Sus scrofa: one gene and its partners. The protein of the gene in region 2 purifies or fractionates together with the protein of the main gene of each other region. This does not show direct contact. Links are inferred from orthologs where the notes say so. Each region holds a gene or a part of one and is shown on either strand. Other genes may lie near its edges.

What was found.
Region 1: the proteins of KRR1 (region 2) and DDX18 purify together in Homo sapiens (affinity purification with mass spectrometry; 3 studies listed by BioGRID and IntAct, with this or other methods). This does not show direct contact. The link is inferred for Sus scrofa from reciprocal best matches to the Homo sapiens genes KRR1 and DDX18.
Region 3: the proteins of KRR1 (region 2) and KRI1 purify together in Homo sapiens (affinity purification with mass spectrometry; 3 studies listed by BioGRID and IntAct, with this or other methods). This does not show direct contact. The link is inferred for Sus scrofa from reciprocal best matches to the Homo sapiens genes KRR1 and KRI1.

The regions. Positions count from the first base shown.
Region 1 is NC_010457.5:23,428,641-23,432,292, reverse strand, and holds part of DDX18 (ATP-dependent RNA helicase DDX18), read right to left. Parts: intron 1,979-3,652; coding exon 1,841-1,978; intron 417-1,840; coding exon 281-416; intron 1-280. UniProt on the Homo sapiens protein: ATP-dependent RNA helicase that plays a role in the regulation of R-loop homeostasis in both endogenous R-loop-prone regions and at sites of DNA damage.
Region 2 is NC_010447.5:38,809,172-38,811,858, reverse strand, and holds the end of KRR1 (KRR1 small subunit processome component homolog), read left to right. Parts: intron 1-1; exon of another isoform or gene 2-175; coding exon 176-318; 3' UTR 319-1,464; coding exon of another isoform or gene 1,465-1,736; 3' UTR 1,737-2,111; downstream 2,112-2,687. Other genes in the region: GLIPR1 (glioma pathogenesis-related protein 1), read right to left, coding at 1,465-1,736. UniProt on the Homo sapiens protein: Part of the small subunit (SSU) processome, first precursor of the small eukaryotic ribosomal subunit.
Region 3 is NC_010444.4:69,334,165-69,338,456, reverse strand, and holds the start of KRI1 (protein KRI1 homolog), read left to right. Parts: upstream 1-1,352; 5' UTR 1,353-1,493; coding exon 1,494-1,587; intron 1,588-1,697; coding exon 1,698-1,771; intron 1,772-2,522; coding exon 2,523-2,628; intron 2,629-3,741; coding exon 3,742-3,850; intron 3,851-4,047; coding exon 4,048-4,102; intron 4,103-4,181; coding exon 4,182-4,231; intron 4,232-4,292. Other genes in the region: CDKN2D (cyclin-dependent kinase 4 inhibitor D), read left to right, coding at 73-432.

The DNA of each region.
Region 1 (3,652 bases), on a different chromosome or scaffold from region 2:
AGATTTTTAGGCACCAAGGCTGATCAGAAACAAGTCTCTCCCTTCTCTACCCATGAAGTCATTTATGTGAGTTAAAGACTTAACTCAGAAATAACAACTGTGCTAAAAACAGAAGTGAACACTTTTCTCTAAACACCAGTCAATAACCTAAAGCCTTTAATGAAGGTTGGATATTTTACCCAATACAGTACAAAATCAACAGAAATACTGGTATTTCCTTTCCAAACTATTAGCACTAAGAAGAGGGACACTAATGCTCAAACCTCAATGTTACTCATACCTGCCTTCCAGAAGTGGTCTGATACTCTTATGTTGAATTTCAGTCATGTTCGTAAAACCCATTTCTTTGATTGCCCTCAGAGTGTTCTCATTGACAAGATCAGTCAGCGAAGCAAATGAAGTATCCTCAAAAGCTCCTAAACAGAAAAGAGTTTACCATCAGCAAATTTACCTTAATACAGTTAACACTGCTATAGTTTCCTAAACTAGTGCTGCTGATTAAAAACATTATGACATTGGTGTTGAGCTTAGAAAAGTTTCTTCCAGTATGAAAAAACTAAATACCAACTATTCCTACGTAATATCAAGAAAAAGACCCTGTACTTTTAAAGTTTCTCCACTGCTTATGGTTGTGTAACTTAAAGTTCAGAGCTAATACTGTAACAAACTAATAATGACGGAGGTACAATTAAGGGACTTGTATGAAATGAAAACGCCAAGGCTGGGGGTGGGGTGGGGGAGACTGTTTGTGGGAAGAGAGTTCAGAGAGAAATCAAATGGTTAAGAAATCTGAAATAAAATGAAAGCATTCAGTACAATCAAATCTGACTATGAAGTCAAATAAGATTAGTTATTCTCACTGAGAGGAGTCAGGTATAGCCACAGATGTCAGACTATACTCACGTTATCAGGAGTGCAGTGGTTCCCCAGCAGGGGATGGCACCAGGATCACCGGGGACCTACTGCCCCACATGCCACTGCGGCGATAACCCAGGTATTAGCAACTTTGGCACTGCTAACATTTTCGGCTAAATAGTTCTTTCTTGTGAAAGGCTGTATACATGCATTACAGGATGTTCTGCAGCATCTCTGACCTCTACCCACTAGATGCCAGTAGCCTGCCTACCAACCAAGCATGTTGGTGGCCAATCTTCACGGTTTGCCTGGGACAGAGGTAATCTGTGGGATGCAGGACTTTGAATGTGAAAACTAAAATTAACCGGTCCCTTTACATGGGAGGTAAGATTACCTTGGTTGAGAATAACTACATAACCTTTGCAAATCTGATTAAGTAGGTTGGAGGATGGGCCTCAATATTTTAACAAACAGAACCCCCAAACCAAACAACTCAAGTATCTCCTAGACAATTCTAGTTGGGAGCAACCAATTCTAGCCTAAATTCTTGACTTTGGAGATAAAGAGTAGAGCCAAAGAAGGAGACCCTGGCATAAGCCCCTCAATAATGTTAACGTCCTCCTTTTCTTTTAGCCACTGAGCCAGCATCAAACCTCTGGGCTTCAGACATCCCGGCCAGTGATTTCCCCACTACAGCATGGACTGAGCTCTGGAAAGTGACAAACCAAAGGAACAGAGGACCCCAAGAGCTGTTTGTATGTCTGTCAAAACAGTCAGTGTTAGAAATAAAGAGAGGGGAAGACAAAGAAACAAGGAGTAAGCATACAATGTGGAAGATAAAAAAGCAGCAATTAGATATAAAATCATTTCTTCAATACTTAGATTTTCAAGGTAAATTAAATGTCACAACTGGACCTTCAAACTATAGTCCAGGGATGCATGACATTTCAAAGAAGATCTACCTGGAAAACGTTGTGGAAGTTACCTGTTAGTCCCAGGGGCAGGCTGGGAACCTCAGTGTCATCATCCTTGTCTGGCTTTTCCATACTGTTTTCTGTTTCTTCAGGAGCCTGGGCACTGTCTCCAGGTTCTCCTTTATCTTCAGTTTTTGCTTTTTTTGAATCTTGGGTTTAAAGGACCAAACAAACAAAAACAAACAAACAAAAAAACCTTCAATTTTTTTTTCTTAAAAATACCAATGAGATCACAAAGTAAAAGTGTGATGCAGAAAGGCATATTTTCAAATGCTGACCACATTTCCAGTTTCAATTTGCTAAGAATCTCTTTTTCATTGGTTGAAAAATATGGTTATATTAAAAAAACAGGGGGAGACACAGACTTGCCAAGAAAACATTTTTAGGCTTCTTTATACACATACACACATAGATACATATATATATGTATATATGCAGTTTATGGGCCAGGGATCAAATCTAAGGCGCAGTCGTGACCTATGCTGAACCCTCGGCAATGCCAGATCCTTTAAAACACTGTGCTGGCAATCAAACCTCCATCCTGGTGCTGCAGAGATGCCACCAATCCCACTGTACCACAGTAAGAACTCTCCATCACACTCTTAAATGTTCCACTCTGGGTCAAGTGGGTTACCTACCATACCAGGCTTTTAAAATTTTATGGCTGTTAGGATGCTAGTATAACAGAGCTGACCTAAACCAGAACTTAGGACTGTCTGCAGTCCACGATTGGCCTCTTCCTTGGACCTTCTACTACTCTTCTGGAAAATGGTCAGCCCTGTAGAACGCAAAAAGCCATGGCTATAATCATCCTTGTCTGGTTTTTCATCCTTTGTATGTCTGTCAAAATAGTCAGTGTTAGAAATACTGCCATGGCCATAATCAGCAGGTCTTCATGGCTTATCACTTCTGTTTTCCAAAAAAAACCCCGGTTTTTAAAGGTTACCTACAGGACTTAAAACTCCCAGCCCTGTGATTCTATGTTAGAAATAATGTCACTTCCTTAGGCATACTTAGAACAAGAATCCTAAAGGCATTAGTAATTTTAGAACAGAATTACCATCACTTTATATCAAAACTGTCATGTCTAGTCCTTATGCTTCTTCTTGTTTCACTTTTTGCATAAACAATTTTTCCTAACTTACAAATGGACTGTAGTCTATATGCAGTAAAAGGACAGTCATATATGTTTGGAAAATTTAAAGCTTCTTTCTAAATGAAATCTTTATTTCAGACAAGAGATGAACAGGACATGCTAACCCAGGTGCTGGCCAACTTTGTCTAAAAAGGGCCGAATAGTAAACAGTTTAGGCTTTGTAAGCCTTCTGGTCTGTCACCATGAAGGCCAAGTCAATAAATGGGCATTGCAGTGTTCCAATTAAGCTTTATCTGTAAAAACAGGCAAAAGGCTCAATAGTTTGCTGACACCTGTTCTGTACTTCCTTGCAATCTCTGCTTGCTCATATAACCATTAAAATGCCATTCTTTCAATAAGCTTATTCAATCCAATAATCTTCCAAAAGAAAAGAGCCTTCTCCACTTCCCAAATACTATCCTGGCCATTCGACTTGCTTGGAAACGTTCCATTTATTCAGATGCTTCCTAACTGCTTTTTTATACACTTTGTATATCCAAACGATCACTAAGTTGCCTTTCAAAGGTAGGAATTTATCGCAGGAAAAAGGAATGGGTAAAAAAAGAAGTAAATAAAAAAAGAATCATTAACCTGAAGTCCTGAGATACAGAAAGACCCAAGAAGACAGACTCAACTACCAGCCCAGATTCCTTTAGTCTCAGTAATTCTACAATTCTCTTTGCAAACA
Region 2 (2,687 bases):
GTTTAAGAGGAAAATGTAATTTTAATATAGTTGCATTGAGTAATTGTTCATATAAATTATGCCATTTTGAAATTTCTAACTTTCAGCAGATGTTTTGTAGTTTTATAACATGACCTTTCAATTACAGCAGTACTCTGATATTAAATCTTGTTACATGTATTTTTAACTTATTTAGCTTCTACTGAAACTAAAATTGATGTGGCCACCATCAAGGAAAAGGTTAAGAAAGCAAAGAGTAAGAAACTGGGAGCTCTTACAGCTGAAGAAGTTAAGCTTAAAATGGAAGCAGATGAAAAGAAAAAGAAGAAAAAAAAGTAGCAAAGACCAAAGGCCGAAACTCCTGAACTAGAATGTATTAAGCTACCTCCTTTTGTAAAGGATTTTGAGATACTAGGGCATTAGTTGCCTATCTGTGAAAGGTAATACACTGATCACATTTTTCTGAGTTTGTTTTGTTCTTGATATAAAGTGTTTACATAAACAGCTATTCTTTATAAATTACTGCATTCTCCATAATTTTTCTGAAAAATTTTATACAAGAAAGTGGTATAAATGTGTTTATATGCATTGCAGCTAGTCTGTTCCAGGCAGGTTTTGCCTAAGAATGATTTTAGGAGTAATTCTATATAGGTTGTATTTTGGGAATATGGCTATTGTAATTACCCATCCAGTCCAGGTGTCTGATGCCAGACATTGGATTTGATAAATAATTTGGTTTTGTGGAAGATAATTTTTCAGTGCTTTAATGATAACACGTAAACGTTTAGGCTTATTCCTTTCTAAAATGTTTTTCTTTTTGCCCACACCCATAGCATAGGGAAGTTCCTGGGCCAGGGATTGAATCCAAGCTGCAGCAACACTGGATCTTGCTGGGCAGAGGAATTTCAGCAACCTAAAACTGCTGTAGTCAGATGGTTAACTCACTGTACCACAGTTGAAACTCCCCTGTCTATAATCTCATAATCCAAAAAAGCAAGGCTTCTTAGATATTATTCCTTAATTACTATTCCGTTCTGAATCTGAGGAAGTTGTAAACCAGAAAGTCATAAAATTGCAGGAGAGAAGGGAAAACCAGATATTTAGAGTTGAAGCAGCATGCAACAGATTATAGAAATGTTTTGTTAATAAGGTCCAGTGCAGTTACTTATACTCACCTACCTATCTCAAGATTGACTTTACATATTTAGAAGCTGAAGCACACCAGGGTTTGAAATCACAGCAGTGGCAGCCTAAAAACAATGCTTTTTTATACAGAGTGGGAAATAACAAAGACGAGTTTATCATACAGTGTGGGAAGTAATAAAGATGAGTTTACCGTACAGTGTTATTAAATTGAAGTTTCTTTTGAGTAAGGGTTTGCTGCAACAGTGTAAACAATATATGTTTTCTCAAAGTTTTAAAATAGAAATACACCCACTTATTAAAAAAAAGCTGTACATGAGGGTTTTTTTTTCCTTGATTTTATTATTTGAGAACTAAATGAGGGTATTTAACCAAAATGGTAATTATAACACTCAGTAATAGGATTGGTGGACTAACAATGAGAAAAAGAGATAGGTATCTATTACGTGGAAGTATCAGCCAGTCTGGAAACACAACAGAATAGTAACCTGTGAAACAAACATAAAATAGCCTCTTAAATATTGTTCTTCGTGATGCGGAAACATTGCTTACATAAATCTTGAACAACTTAAGATTTATATACATACGTGTGACTTTGTCTCGTTTTGGGTTGGCTGTAAAGTCAGAGAAGAAAGACAAAAATTAAAAGAATAGGTAGTGGCAAGGCTTTTATTTTAAAAGCCCAGTCTCTTGACTTTTTGGTTTTATTACAGTAATTTTCAAAGGTTAAAGATTTTTTTGCACTTATTGTATTAACTTGATTTTTTAATCAACTTTTTATATAAACCATATATATGTATACACAGACACACCACTACTGTAAGTGGAAACATTTTATGTACCGTATCTGGCAGAAAAATAATTAAAAATAAAACATTAGAATTAAAAATAATAAATGTGAATGATTTATTAAAATGTTTCTGAAAATGTTTCTTCCTGAGAAGAATGACTGTTTATAATCAGTGAGCAATAAAGAGACCACGGCCTCGCCTCTGTTCCAGTATGTCATTAATTTATGATAGCCAAATATCTTATTGATAAAGTCCTGAGTACTCTCCCCTTCCACTGAGCTTTGTTAAGATTTTGATATTCAGAGCACTAGGAAGACAATTCCACATTTGCCATAGCCTTCTGGATACTTTTTAAACTAAACAGTCAGACACCTTTCCTACAGCAGTTCCACATCAGCTGTTGGACTCCTGTAGTGGAATGGAATCCATCAACGAGCCGACCCCCTGGATGCTTGTGGACATCCTTGGGCATCATACCTGTGACTGGCCTTGTCTACAGTGAACTGCCATGTAGCTTCTATTCTTCAACTTTTCTCAGCAGTTATAGCCATGAAATCAAGGTATGATGTCCTGGTTACATTTTTTTCTTACGTATATATTTTTTATGTTAAATATTCAACTTCTGAATATTGCCAGAAATATACGTCCGTCCATGCACTAGCTAACAGCAGCTTATATACCATTAGTATACCCAGCACGTTTTACAAAACTGTCCTGATTTGGCCTCTTGATATTTGTCGAACCTACCTGCAGTATCTAGACTACCAAACAGGG
Region 3 (4,292 bases), on a different chromosome or scaffold from region 2:
ACCCTTTTCTCCAGTCCCCCATTTTCCTGGGCCTCCTCCTTTGAGGACCCCCTGACCCTCTGCCCCCAACAGGTCATGATGTTTGGCAGCCCCACCATCGCCCAGGAGCTCCTGAAACAAGGTGCCAGCCCCAATGTCCAGGATGCTTCCGGCACCACTCCGGCCCACGATGCAGCCCGTACTGGATTCCTTGACACCCTGAAAGTGTTGGTAGAGCACGGCGCTGATGTCAATGCACCTGATGGCACCGGGGCACTCCCCATTCATCTGGCTGTGAGAGAGGGCCACACCTCTGTGGTCAGCTTCCTGGCTGCTGAATCTGATCTCCATCACAGGGACGCCAGGGGGCTTACACCCCTGGAGCTGGCAAGGGGGAGAGGTGCTCAGGATCTCATGGACATACTACAGCGGCACACAGTGGCACCACTGTGACCTGGGGCCACCCAGTCCAGCAACAGGACCCGGCTGGGTTCTGTGTCAGAAGAGAAGGGAAGAAACACTTTCTCCCTTAGCTCCTCCTGCCCACTGCCGAGGGGCACAAGTTTGTGGCTTGTTGGTGTTGATTTCTGGGGTGTGTGTGTTTGAGGTGCATTTCTCATTTTTTTTCCTCTCACCCCTTTTGGTGTATTGGGCAGAGAAGGGCTCCTGCAGGCAACAGCCACCTAAACGGTTCAGTTTCCTCCACCCCCCAGACTGCTGGGACTACAGACAAGTCCCAAGGGCAGAGCGTTTAAAGCCCTAGCTCCAGAGTGAGGTCATTCCTTCCAAGGCTCCTGGAACCTGTCGACCTTGGCCAGCTATACCCAGAGCTAGACCTCAAGTGTGCACACTGCTTTCGGGCATGGGGGAGGGGGGTGTTCCAAATCAGTAAAAGGGTAGTATGAGTTCATTCATATTTTGTTTAAAAGCTTGTTTTCCAGTCCCTTGTACAGCGTTAACACATTCTATTTATTAAGCTTTATGGAAAAAATTGTTGTGTGTGTAATTTAATGTTTTTACCCATTAAATTAAGACTTGTGCATGATCATAGCGCCAGTGGCTTCTGATTTTTGAGGCTGCGATGGAGAGTCGTGCATTCAGGATGTTTGTGGGGGTGGGCACCCAGGTCGCGGATCGTGGGTCCTTTGGCGGAGGGGCGAGAGTGGTAATTCCCAGGGCGCAAGGGGTGAGTGAGCTGGGTGGGGCAGCGGTTTGCGCTGTCGGAACGGAAGGGAGGCAGGAAACCGCGAGTGGAGAAAGGGCCCCCAGATGTCAGCTGGGTGCCGGGAGCCCTGGGGGTGGGGGAGTGGGGTGGGCGGTGGCCGTAGCCTTCCCTGCAGAGGCGTGGCCCATGGGTGGGGACTGCCGTCACAGGGCTTGGGATCCCGGAAGGGCCAGGGGCTGGGTTAAGTGCCGTCCACGAGGCTCCGCCCCATTTAAAGCTAGCTTGCTAGGGAGTAGCCCCGCCCCCTGGGGCGCCCTCCGTACGCTTGCGCAGTGTGCCCAGAGCCGCCATGCCGGAGCCGCGCGGGTCGTCGCCCCTGCGGGTGAACGCGGCGTTTGCTGCGCGGTACGGCCGCTACCGGGAGCGCGAGGAGCTGCAGCGGCGTGAGTGCGGGGCGCATGCGCGCGGGGCGCCGGCGCATGCCGGGCGGTCAGGAAGTGGGCTTGATCTGGTCCCCCAGGCTGACCTGAGGGCTCCTATCTGTGCCCCACAGTCAAAGATCGCTACGGAGACCAGGACGGCAGTGGCGACTCCAGCTCCGAGTCTGACTCCAGCGATGAGCGCGTGGTGAGCTTACCCGCTTCCGTCCTGAACTTGGGGAGGCTTCCAAGCACACCATCCTTGCCCGGCTTATAGGGAGCTGCTTACCCTCATCACCAGCGCGCCGAGGGGAGCTTTCAACTCCCGCCCTTCATTCCCTTGAGAGCCAGACAGCGTCCTCCCCATCCCCAGGGGGTGGCCAGATTCCCCCTACCTCCCCCTTCTCACCTCGGAGCTCCTGGCCCATCTTGATCTGTGAGGTGTAAACTGTCTGTCCACCTTTTTGTCCCTAACAGTCTAACCCTTTCTCAACGCCTGCCGCTCTCCCCAAAGTGGGGCATCCCTCTGCCACATGGGGCACCCACCTTTTCCCCATAGCAGCCCTGATCTTCCCAGTCTCCCTGAGTGGTCCAGCCCTTTCTCTCCATTCTTCCTGTGCCCTTTCTGCCCACCTAGCCCCGTGTCCTGAATCCCTTACTGATGCCAGGAAGTAACCTCTCCTTACCCACTACTTCCATTTCATATCCTGTACATATCCTATGTGTGGACCACCCCCAAGACGGCCCCTCTCCCTCCTCCACCCGTTTGCCCCCCTCTTCCACTCAGATCCAGACCTCCACCCCCCACCTGCCTCTCTAGCCAGATTCCCCTTCCTGCTTCTTAATATATGCCCCTCCCCCACCCTAATTCCCACACCCTCTCAGCCCACCTACCCCTGGTGCCCTCATCACCAGGTGCCTCCTTCTGAAATCTGTCTCCACCTCTTTTCCTGCCCTAGGAATTTGACCCCCAGCAGGAGCGAGACTTTTACAGGACTCTATCCTTGTTGAAGAAGAAGGATCCCCGGATTTACAAGAAAGATGCCACATTCTATCAGAGAACAGGTCTGGGACTGCTCGTTTTTTTGTTTTGTTTTGTTTTGTTTTTGTCTTTTGAGGGTGGGACCGGCAGCATATGGAACTTCCCAGGCTAAGGGTTGAATCAAAGATGTAGCTGCCAGCCTACACCACAGCCACAGCAACTCAGGATCCGAGCCACTTCTGTGGCCTACAGCACAGCTCAGGGCAATGCTGGATCCTTAACCCACTGAGCAAGGCCAAGGATCAAACCCACATCCTCATGGATACTAGTTGGGTTCATCAACCACTGAGCCATGACGGGAACTCTGGGGCTGCTCATCTTGAGGCCCAGTTTCCTCATTGCCTTATGGGCTGTTGTGATTATTTCACCAATCTTTTTTTTTGGCTCTACCGAGGCATGCGATCCCAGGCCAGGGATTGAACCTGCTGCACCACCACAGCAGTGACCCGAGCCACAGCAGTGACAACACTGGATCTTTAACCCAGTGAACCACCAGGGATCTCCCTATTTCATGAGTCTTTACACATCACAACAGCAGGAGTTCCTGTTGTGCCTCAGCAGGTTAAGAACCCTATAGAATACATAGATACTCTGTGAGGATGTGGGTTCCATCCCTGGCCTTGCTCAGTGGCTTAAGGATCCGGCGTTGCCTCAAGCTGTGCCGGATGCAGCTGGTAGCTGCAGCTCCCATTTGACTTCTAGCCTGGGAATTTCCATATGCTGTGAGTGCTGCCCCTAAAAAAGACCAAAGGAAAAAAAAAAAGGCTGTATGAGACTTCCCACTATGGCACAGTGGATTAAGTATCCAATGTTGTCTCTGGGTAGCATGGGTTCGATCCCTGGCCCTGTGCATTAGGTTAAGGATCTGGTGTTTCTGCAGCTGTGGCATAGGTCCTAGCTGGGGTTTCTGACAGGGAACTTAAAAAAATGATAATAATGGCTGTGTGCTTGGCACTGTTCTGAGTGTAAACTACTCACTGAATGGTCACCACCAGGTACTACCGGGTAGTAGCCCGTGTGATACATGTTTGAGAGCTGGGAGCAGGCGGCCTGGGGATTTGAAGCCTGGGTATGACTCAGGGAGGAAGGGGTGGGTGGGTGTGGCTGATGGCAAGTGTCTTCTGGTGGCCCCACAGCATCTTCCTCGGAGAGCGAGGAGGAGCCGGCAGCTGAGGAGAAGCAAAAGAAGGTTTGTCCCATGTACCTGAAGGACTACGAGAGGAAGGTCATCTTGGAGAAAGGAGGGTGAGGAGAAAGCCTGGTGCCCCTGTTCTTGCCTTTCCAGGGCAGGTGGACACATGGGGGACTTGGGGGCAGGGGTGGGATGAAGCCCATGACTCATCAGAGTTGAGAGGGGAGGAGCCTTGGTGACCCACTCCCCACCCCATGGGGACAGACAGGCCCTGGGGCACCTATCCTGAAGCCTTCATCCTTTCTTGCAGCAAATATGTTGATGAGGAAAATTCAGACGGGGAGACCTCTGATCAGAGACTCCAGGTAAGTGGGGTGCAGGCTGGGCGGGGGGGGCTCGAGGGGCCCAGGGCTGGGCCTGAGGCCCATGTCACTCTCTCTGCAGCAGACCTCAGCGAAAAGTTATGTGGAGGAACAGAAACAGCTGAAGGAAAGGTGAGCCCTGAGGCCGGCTCAGCGGTCAAGTGGAAAGGAGTTGAGATGCTGAGGTTAGGCA